Arabidopsis thaliana: one gene and its partner. The protein of the gene in region 2 purifies or fractionates together with the protein of the main gene of each other region. This does not show direct contact. Each region holds a gene or a part of one and is shown on either strand. Other genes may lie near its edges.

Region 1 (5,290 bases), on a different chromosome or scaffold from region 2:
CCCGAGCCTCCTTGTGGAGCCACTAGCATCGGGACGTTGTAACCGTCGACGAGACTAACGTCGTAGAAATCGAGTCCGTTAGATCCGTCTAGTGTGAATTCCGCTAGTGTTGCTGGTGGTGTTGCTCCGGATCCGGAGCATTCGAGGGTACCAGATCCGCAATCTCCGGTGAGACAAGTGAATTTTCCGTCGGTGTCGGTGGAACATTGAGTTCTCCCCCAGAATCTTCCTCCCCATGAAGTTGGAGCGCTGATTGTTCGTTCTTCGCCTTTTTGGAGAACGAATCCGGTCGTCGGAAGTGGTGGAACTCCGGCGTTTGATAAAAGTCCAGGCCAGACTGTGTATTCGCATTTGTTCACCATAATGAAGCTCGTTGATCTAACTCCTGTTTATAAAACCATAAAATCATCAGAATCACAGTATTATTAATCATAACTAAAGTTGATCTATAGGAGAAGATTCGTACCAGAAACGAACAAATGAGAGAAGATAAGGAAGATCAATGGCAACGGAAGAGCCATTGAATTGGAGAAGAAGAAGATTTAAGGACTTTAATTGCTCTGTTTTCTTCTTCTTCTTTATTAGTTTTATTTATGAAACAGAGACTTAAAAGAGGATTCTGAGAGCGAAAGAGAGATGAAGAAGAAGATGTGTGCTTTATAGTAGAAGCTTTTTTCCTCTGTTGGTGAGAATCTGGTGTATGTGTTGGTTGGTAGCTTATGGTACGCCTGCTTACGTGGACACATCTAATTGGTTATTTTTTTTAACCGTTGAGATTAAGAAAAGCACCTGATGATTTTATATAGTAAATTTTGTTGTTTAATCGGTTCATAGTTCATAATTAGCACTATACGATAATGGGTTAGTCTGGTTTTTAAATAGTTAAATTACCACTAATTGTTGTCCGAGTTTGATTGATAACATTTTAACGAAAATATCCAATTACCTTTTGACGTTCACTTTTAATTAAAAATATCTACAAAACGTAAAGTAGATCTTTATTTTTCAAGATTCTTTAACTTTACTGTTTAGTTACGTGATTAGGATTTGTAACCACGTAGACGTGTAAAACAAAATTACTTTTTTATCTGTGATTTATAGGAATTTGAGATTTGAATGCAACGTTGTTGTTTCATCTAACAATAAGTGATGAAGAACTTCAAAAGTCTAAAACCATATCATTTATAAAATCATCATTTCATTTTCAGAACAACTAGGTACGATTAGTGGACGTTTCAACGTCTTTCATGATAATCGCGGGCCATGTAAATTATTATATTTGAGGAATGAGGATCCATATAATATCTTGGCTATATAAAAATTATTTATTTGTTCAATATAATATCTTTGCGTTTTATTGATCAATTGCAAGTTTGCAACGATATACACCAGGAAAAAAAAGGAGAAACAAAATTCATTTTGCTTATACGTATGTACTATGTACATTTCTGTATACTCAAAGTTGTTAGATATTTTGTTGTGGAAAGTGATAATGTTGTTACTTTTTACTGTTTTTTAGGTGGTGTGAACTGTGAAAGTTTGAAAGATACAAAAGTGATGAATAATTTTTCAATAATTGTTTTGCGTTGTATTATTTTTTGTAGGAGTAATAGCGACCATCTTTGTAATATTGTGTAGACAGACAGGTCACATCCACTTTACAATATATCGTAAGCAATTGCCATCGTCCTCCCTCACGTTTTTTTTTTCGTCCGTCACATTACAATAAGATATTTAATGGGCCTTTATGCATGGTTTAGTATAATGAATAAGCCCAGCAAATTTTAACAAAAGCACAAATGTGCTGCCCATAAATTAGGTTGGAAATGCAGATTGCATGAACTTTTCGATCATATTCAAAAAACATAGCACAAAACAAACGTTAACTCCAAACAGAGTAACAATAGTTGTCGTCTAATTAATATATTGTTCCAAAGAAAAATATGTAGCTACGTCTTGCCTCTAACACCTCTTTTTCACATCACAAGCATCTTAAAATTTCTTAAATCACTCTTTTCGCGATGAGACATGTCTTTGTCGAGGTGTTGGTTCTGATCTCTTTGGTCATCTTGGAGTTGAGCTATGCGTTTGCACCAATCTCATCGTATCAATGGGTCGTCTCGTATTCTCAACGTTTCATTCTTGGAGGCAACAAGCAGGTAACCATTTTCATTTGAATATGTTTTTATTTGTTACAATAATATGGTTTTAGCTATCTTATATGAAATTTCAGATGCATGATCAATCTATAGGTTATAGTATTCACCAAAAAAAAAATCTATAGGTTATAGTGATCAACGACATGTTCCCTGGACCGATCCTTAATGCAACAGCAAACGATATCATTGTCGTTAACATTTTCAACAATTTGCCCGAACCCTTCCTCATGACTTGGTATATATTTTCAACTTTTTGTTTTGGGTTAATTTTAGGAATAATTGTTATTAAACCTCTATGTAAATTAAAGGAATGGATTGCAATTGCGGAAGAACTCGTGGCAAGATGGAGTTCGAGGGACAAACTGTCCCATACTACCGGGGACAAATTGGACGTACCGTTTTCAGGTGAAGGATCAAATTGGAAGTTACTTTTATTTTCCGACCCTTCTACTTCAGAAAGCTGCCGGAGGATACGGTGCTATTAGAATCTATCCCCCAGAACTTGTCCCAGTCCCATTCCCTAAGCCCGACGAAGAATACGACATCTTGATTGGAGATTGGTTTTATCTCGACCATACAGTATGTTTCTTTGATAAATTACCGTATTATCATCAAACCTACATTCCAATACTATCCTTTTTATATATAAAAAAACTAATTTTGTAGATCATAATCATTTTGGTTATTGAGTTTTATCTTGCCCATTTATTGAATGTGTTATTAGTTTCATTGTAAAAGATGTTTTGCTTGATTTGCATAATTAACACTTGGTTTCCAAATTTTGGTGTAAGGTTATGAGAGCTTCACTTGACGCTGGTCACAGTTTGCCAAATCCTGATGGTATTCTTTTTAACGGGCGTGGCCCTGAAGAGACCTTCTTTGCATTTGAACCAGGTGAGTTTTTTTCTTCTTTTAAAAATATTACATTATATCTTTAATAATGTAGTTTACACACAAATGTTCTTTTTATGTTGTCTATATATAATCACAGGCAAAACATATAGGCTAAGAATATCAAACGTGGGTCTCAAAACATGCTTAAACTTCAGAATCCAAGACCACGATATGCTTCTAGTTGAGACAGAGGGTACGTATGTTCAAAAACGTGTTTACTCGAGCCTGGACATCCACGTAGGCCAATCATACTCTATTCTTGTCACTGCCAAAACCGACCCGGTTGGAATTTACCGGTCTTACTACATATTCGCCACAGCTCGGTTCACTGATTCCTACCTTGGCGGTATAGCTTTAATTCGATATCCCGGTTCCCCACTTGACCCAGTCGGACAAGGTCCACTCGCACCTGCTTTGCAAGATTTTGGTTCCTCAGTTGAACAAGCCCTTTCCATTAGGTAAAGAAATACTCTTTTTTTATACCAAAGAATAAAAACTTTTATATGAAATATTTCGTTTAGTATTTGTTCTTGACTAATAAACGTTAAGTGTACGACACAGAATGGACCTGAACGTTGGAGCAGCAAGATCGAACCCTCAAGGTTCGTACCACTATGGACGAATAAACGTAACCAGAACGATAATATTACATAACGACGTTATGTTATCGTCGGGCAAACTACGGTATACGATTAACGGCGTTTCGTTTGTCTACCCCGAGACTCCGTTAAAGCTCGTTGATCATTTTCAGCTAAATGACACGATAATCCCTGGCATGTTCCCGGTTTATCCATCCAACAAAACACCGACTCTTGGAACTTCAGTGGTCGATATTCATTACAAAGATTTCATCCACATCGTGTTCCAGAACCCTCTATTTGGATTGGAGAGTTATCACATCGATGGTTACAATTTCTTCGTTGTCGGGTAAAAATTACAATATTTAAATCATAATTATGTGTATGATGATTAAATTAGGTGTACTAATTTTATTTGAGTTTAATGTTAGATATGGATTTGGAGCTTGGTCTGAAAGCAAAAAAGCTGGATATAACTTAGTAGATGCTGTTTCACGGTCAACAGTTCAGGTTAAGCCATATCTAATCTCGTAATTTAAAGTATTAAACCAGTGATTAGTTTTGGTTAATTGATTCTGTGTGTGTTTAGGTTTATCCATATTCGTGGACAGCAATATTGATAGCTATGGATAATCAAGGAATGTGGAACGTGAGATCACAGAAAGCAGAGCAATGGTATCTTGGTCAAGAGCTTTATATGAGAGTTAAAGGTGAAGGAGAAGAAGATCCTTCGACTATTCCGGTTAGAGATGAAAATCCGATACCGGGAAATGTCATCCGTTGTGGCAAAGTTCGATAATAATTAATTGTCTGAAATAATAAAACCTAGAAAAGTCTATTTTAATTAGCAAAACTAAAGAACGGTTTAAAGGAATGATCAGAGAGTATTAGGATCTGTGTTGATCTTAGGGTTTGTGGTTTGATTGCGATTCGAATCACTTGTGTAATTGCAGAAGACGGATGGTAATTTAAAGAGATGATCTTAGGGTTTGTGGTTTGATTGCGACTAAAGACTACTAGACGATGCCGTTTTAGATTTTAATGGGCTCACACAGTTGTTATCTGCAAACCGGCCCAGGTCTGTTTTGACTTGGTGAGTGCTAACGTGCTCTATAAGAAGATATTGTAGCCACATACGAACAGCTAACGTGCTCCCATTTCCTCTATGTTCCCTTGAGTGACATACGTTTTCACAATAAGTTGGGAGCAAGTAATTTACCAAGAACAAATATATATTTTAAAAAATATAGGATCCTTTTACAAGTTCAATTATTGATTTTGACGTTACGTATAAACAGTAGATCGACCATGACATAAATAAAAATGAAAAAATAATTGGATCAAATCTCAGATCTTACTACAGTCTACATCTACCTAGCTACATGTGCTATGGCATTATTTGTTTTTCATGTTATCATCAATATTGTATAAAAGATCCAAACACAATCAGTGTGATGATATTTTTCTATACTTTTGATCATTCAACCGATTTCAATTATTGTGTTTGATCGTTTACATAGAAATAGGTACATATGCATTCAAGATCTCCAGATCGTTTATTACGTCTTGCTACATGTGCTATGTCACTAAAACAACTAAGATACTACATGCAAAGTTACTGTATTCATTACGCATTGATCGTCTTCTTCTACGCACTAT
Region 2 (5,296 bases):
TTCTCAGTGTCAGTACCATCTCTAACATCCAAATCCTTCTTACTCAGAACTCGTTCAGCTTCAGGTTTGCCATCTCTTCTTGATCTCTTAGGGCTAAAGACAAAAACATAAATGATTAGTTGTACAACTGTGATAAGCTACCAAAATCAACTAATTGTGCCTATCAGTAAAATTGACCATCTTCAGAAAAATCTCCACTGTTCGAGAGTGAATGTGACCAAATTAGAGTAGACAGATCAACATAGGATGATTCAAAAAACAATCACTTCAACACTAAATTCAGCTTTCATTTCGATTTCTAGACAAAAGACACTATGAGCTTCCTCGTTGTTCAAAACCGAATTTTATTTGCTTCAAAGTTATAATAGAAGATGAAGATAGAGCAGGAATCTCCAGAAGAAGAAGACCTGGGTTCGCGATCGATTCTAGAACGGTGACGTCTAGGGTCTGAATCTCTGCTTTCTCGCCTCGTCGACATGTTTCTCTCACCGAAGAAATTTTAGGGCTTTGCTCTTCTCTCTTCCCACGCCTGCCTGCAACATTTTATCTAATTTTCCCGTCAGAAATTGTCAATTTCCTCAATATTACAGTTTCCGCCTTATATTTCTTCAAGTATCAGAAAAAACCCCATAAGTTAGAATTGTGCACAGAAACGATCTGCGATACCATTATAAAATCCGGTTCTCTAATCAGTCTATATCTAAATTTTGATGTCGAAATAAGCAAGAAGGAAACTATGCAATTTGCTCTTTTATTAAATCGAAAGAAATGCAAATAGTGAAGGAGACGGATAAAAAAAGGTTTGAGAGTAGTAAAGATCCTCAAGAACAAAGGATATACATAAAAGTCTTGTTAGCTTAAATAGATTTGTGGCAATGCGACATTATTCTCCTCTCCCAATATGTTGTTGGTCGACTCATTCAAGAAGGCGCTTGTACTTGCACCACCCGATGGCACCAACGTAGAGGCATATACTGCCGATAGAACCTCCAATCACAGTCCAAATGAATCTACTTGGACCATGTTTATTATCCGTGAACAACTCTATGGTTATATTCATACCAAATACACCAGCAACTGCGATAAAGGCGCTCATCACCAGAGTAGCTGTTGTTAGCATCACACCCATCTGCAGAAGATGATTCTGCTTGTCATCTAGCATTATGTTGATGTAGTCCTCCGTGTCATCCACATATTCCCTTAGCTTTTTTCATCATAACAACAACAAAAACCACAATGTATTAGAAGAAGGATATCATCACGACAAAGAGTACCAAAGCATCTGGTCTATTTACTTACTGTTGATAGTTTGTTCAGTATACCATCGATCTGCACGAAATATGCTTCCAAAAGCATTTCAAGCTCTTCCACATCTAATTTGTTGGTCATGGCACTCCGGGTTGAGCTTGTGTGAGTCCCACGGCTATTTCTGCTAAGTGCACTTTGAGTACTCATAAGAAGCTCGTGAGCATCATTTGCTTGAAGATACCTTCCATCTCTGTTAGCCTCTGATGCAAATTCGGGAGGAAGCCTGGAGTAAAAAGGCAGATGTTAAACTTATATCAGAACAATAGAAGGTACTGCAAGCTCAGAAAGTTGATACATGCCTGTCATCCTCATCTCCTTGAGGAAGATCAACCTCGAAGGTATCACTCTCATTCATAGAGGAATTTGACGAATCCTCAAGTTTCTGAGCTAACTTCTCTGTAAGATACATCTCAGCCATATCTTCATCATCGTCTAGCAGATGTTCTAGCTCATCCCTCACCTAGAACATGTAAAGAGAAAAAGTGTTATTAGTATAGGCAAACGTGGTTAGAATATGGTGATGTCATAGGTTCACATCTATAAGGAAACATGATAAATCCTTATCATAATATCAAAGGAGCCATTTTAATGTCCGAATCATAGCACCTTCTGAACACGTCCAGTTATTGCAACCAGCCTGCTTTTAATCTGTCGAACCCGCTCCAAATTAAGGGTACTGATCTTGGAAGTAAGCTTGTCCAGGGCTGGATGAGCCTCTAACTCCAATCTTAAGGCCTACATTAGAAGAATGAATCAAATACCAAACAAGAGAAGAAATATGCTTTGTCTCAGAGCCTTAACATAAGTATTTACCTCATGTTCCAAACTGCTTGATGCAGCTTCAAGACAGGCTTCCAGAGCAACAAACTCAAATGGAAGAACCTTCGATCCATCTTGATTCTCAAGACTTTGCTTCGCATCCTTCTTGGCTTCACTCCCTTGATCCCCAGAAGATTGTTCCGTTCCAGCTTCTCCTTGGGCAGGATCTACCCTCGTATGAGGCTCTCCCCCAGAGTTCTGCTCCTCCTTTACACAACACATACAAAGAGAGTATATAGTCAACCATAGCTAAACTGACAACCATAATCTTCACATATCATCACCATTGCACAAATCAAATAGTCAACCATGTCTCAACAATACATTAGCTATTATATACATATTCCATTGTCAAGCGAAAATATTTCTACTTCCCAATTCCAAAACAATGCAATTAGGCACAAACAAAAGGAGACAATACAAAAGCCAACTCCTTGAATAAACAAAAAGAGCTCCAAATGAACAGTGGGAAAACCCTAAATTCTCCAATTACCTGAGGTTTAGTGGCGTGATGGTGACAGAGAATCCGCCTCTGCAACTCATCAATAAAGGGTGAGACCGAAGGATCCTTGGAATTAAGCAACAAAACTTCTTGAGCAGTGATGATTGCCTTGATATGCTCCAAATTGATGACAATCGCTCTCTCTCTACCTAAAACAGTAGATGGATACGACAACAGTGGATCGAGAATCCTAAGATCACGCGCCGGTAATCCCGTTCGCCGCATGATGGAGTGTTTCCCTTCTTCCTTCGGCTCCGATTGCCCTGACGAGTTAAGTACCAACCACGTCCTCACGCCAACGCCTTTTTTCCTTCCACCGCCGCCGCCGCCAACACCGGCGGGGTACGTCGGTGTCGGCTGACCAGTGTTTGGCGTTGATGGATTCGTACTAAAATTGAATTCATCGGGTCTAGCTCCTCTCATCGCTTATGATTGTTGTGATCAGAGAGAGATCGAGCAGCTGAGGAATGTTGGAAGTGAAAATTGGGGAATTTATATTCCGGCTCGTCCACCACAAAGGACAAAAACGGTTAAGACAAACCGGTTTTTACTTTTCCCCCAAATATCAAAATCAAACCGGGTTTAGATTTTCCACCAAAAACCAAACCGGTTTTAGCTTCTTCTTTGAATTTTTGTTGTGACGGAGGGGATTTGCTTTAAAAGTTTAGGGCTTTTAAAATCGGCGACGGCGAGCGGAGAATTCCCAAGGAAGAGTCGATGAAGTTGAAATCGGTGTTCGATGCTTCGGAAATCAAATCGGAATTTGAATCAGCGGGAATAAACCCTAAATTCGCGATTCAAATCTGGAAGTATGTAATTCAGAATCCTGATTGCGTTTGGGACGAGATTCCTTCATTGCCTTCCGCTGCATACTCTCTTCTCCATTCCAAGTTCAAGACTCTTACTTCGTCTCTTCACTCGCTATTTCATTCCTCCGATGGCACCACCTCAAAGCTTCTCATCAAGCTCCAGGTACTCTATACTCTGTTACTGTATACAACACATTGCTTTTATGGATTCTGAAAAACTTGTAATGTCTCTGTTTCCTGACGAACTCATATTGGATTCTTGCTTTTGGTTTTGAAATTGAAGAATGGAGCTTTTGTGGAAGCTGTGGTAATGAGATACGATACTCGGTTGGGGATGTTAGGAGGGAAACCACGTCCTGGAGGTATAAGATCTACGTTATGTATTTCATCTCAGGTATTGATTTTTATCACGCAATGTTATCTTGGTTTTATCGAATGAAAGACATGTGATGTGAAAGTATTTATCAATAGGTTGGTTGTAAGATGGGTTGCACATTCTGTGCTACTGGTACCATGGGATTTAAAAGCAATTTAACATCTGGAGAAATTGTGGAGCAGCTTGTTCACGCCTCTCGCATTGCTGATATACGCAACATCGTTTTCATGGTATATTTCTGCTTCTGTTATTGCATTTTATCTACACTATGTGCACCTTGCCTTATGGTTATTTATTTTATATACTCTGCATTGATGAATTTTATTCACCAGTTGTTGCCTTGGTTTGATGATTGTGATCAGGGAATGGGAGAACCTTTAAATAACTACAATGCTGTTGTTGAAGCTGTTCGTGTCATGTTAAACCAACCATTTCAGCTGTCGCCCAAAAGAATTACCATATCAACTGTAAGTACTCAGAAAGCTACCTTGAAACATTCGTAAAACAGAGAAACTTATTCACTGAATTTTGTAGGAATACTTTAGATTATGGAATTTGATAAAGGGAACTGATAGATAAACTTCAATCCATTAAACCTCGCAGTATGCAGCTTCCAAGACATCTTTCAGCTTTTTTTGTCTAGTTGGTTACTTTTAAATTTTGGTGTTTTGGGATTTTCTTCTGATTTCCTTGTCCTTCCGTAATGCTTGTACCGTATATTCCAGGCATAAATCTAAATCATGCAATGCTGCCTGTGTTGACACTTTTTTTTACTAGTTAGCAAATAAATTTCCCTGTATCCTAATGTCATTTGCATAGGTCGGAATTGTTCACGCAATTAACAAGCTACACAATGATCTACCCGGTGTAAGTTTAGCAGTATCCCTCCATGCACCAGTTCAAGAAATCCGCTGCCAGATCATGCCAGCAGCTAGAGCCTTTCCTTTACAAAAGCTTATGGATGCACTTCAAACTTTCCAAAAGAACAGGTAGTTCATGTACTCTTGACTGGTTCGTTGCTGTTAAATATTAAAACCACAATCCCTTCAGTTACATTGACGATTATAACATTATGCCACATTGTCATTGGATTTAACAGTCAACAAAAGATCTTCATTGAGTACATAATGCTTGATGGAGTAAATGATCAAGAGCAGCACGCTCATCTACTAGGCGAATTGCTAAAGACATTTCAAGTGGTAAATCTTCGATGTCTTAATACTCTTAAAGGTTCTGCAATTATCTGATGATATTTTTTATGGAAACTCTGTGCTCTTTTCTTGAACAGGTCATAAATTTGATACCATTTAATCCAATTGGATCCACAAGCCAATTCGAAACAAGCAGCATACAAGGCGTGTCAAGATTCCAGAAAATCCTGAGGGAAACATACAAGATCCGGACTACAATTCGCAAAGAAATGGGTCAGGATATTAGCGGCGCTTGCGGTCAGCTAGTGGTGAACCAACCAGACATCAAAAA

What was found.
Region 1: the proteins of MGT4 (region 2) and sks18 fractionate together in Arabidopsis thaliana (co-fractionation; one large-scale study listed by BioGRID). This does not show direct contact.

Annotation. Positions count from the first base shown.
Region 1 is NC_003070.9:28,454,120-28,459,409, reverse strand, and holds sks18 (SKU5 similar 18), read left to right. Parts: upstream 1-1,881; 5' UTR 1,882-2,021; coding exon 2,022-2,159; intron 2,160-2,284; coding exon 2,285-2,394; intron 2,395-2,467; coding exon 2,468-2,738; intron 2,739-2,950; coding exon 2,951-3,053; intron 3,054-3,150; coding exon 3,151-3,511; intron 3,512-3,614; coding exon 3,615-3,980; intron 3,981-4,062; coding exon 4,063-4,141; intron 4,142-4,220; coding exon 4,221-4,430; 3' UTR 4,431-4,629; downstream 4,630-5,290. Other genes in the region: AT1G75800 (Pathogenesis-related thaumatin superfamily protein), read right to left, coding at 1-385, 467-521.
Region 2 is NC_003074.8:6,818,725-6,824,020, reverse strand, and holds MGT4 (magnesium transporter 4), read right to left. Parts: upstream 3,096-5,296; 5' UTR 3,053-3,095; coding exon 2,621-3,052; intron 2,335-2,620; coding exon 2,122-2,334; intron 2,044-2,121; coding exon 1,915-2,043; intron 1,769-1,914; coding exon 1,608-1,768; intron 1,532-1,607; coding exon 1,300-1,531; intron 1,205-1,299; coding exon 917-1,204; 3' UTR 554-916; downstream 1-553. Other genes in the region: AT3G19650 (cyclin-like protein), read right to left, coding at 1-93, 408-478; AT3G19630 (Radical SAM superfamily protein), read left to right, coding at 3,347-3,601, 3,722-3,832, 3,910-4,044, 4,177-4,281, 4,634-4,803, 4,914-5,013, 5,103-5,296. UniProt on the Arabidopsis thaliana protein: Magnesium transporter that may mediate the influx of magnesium.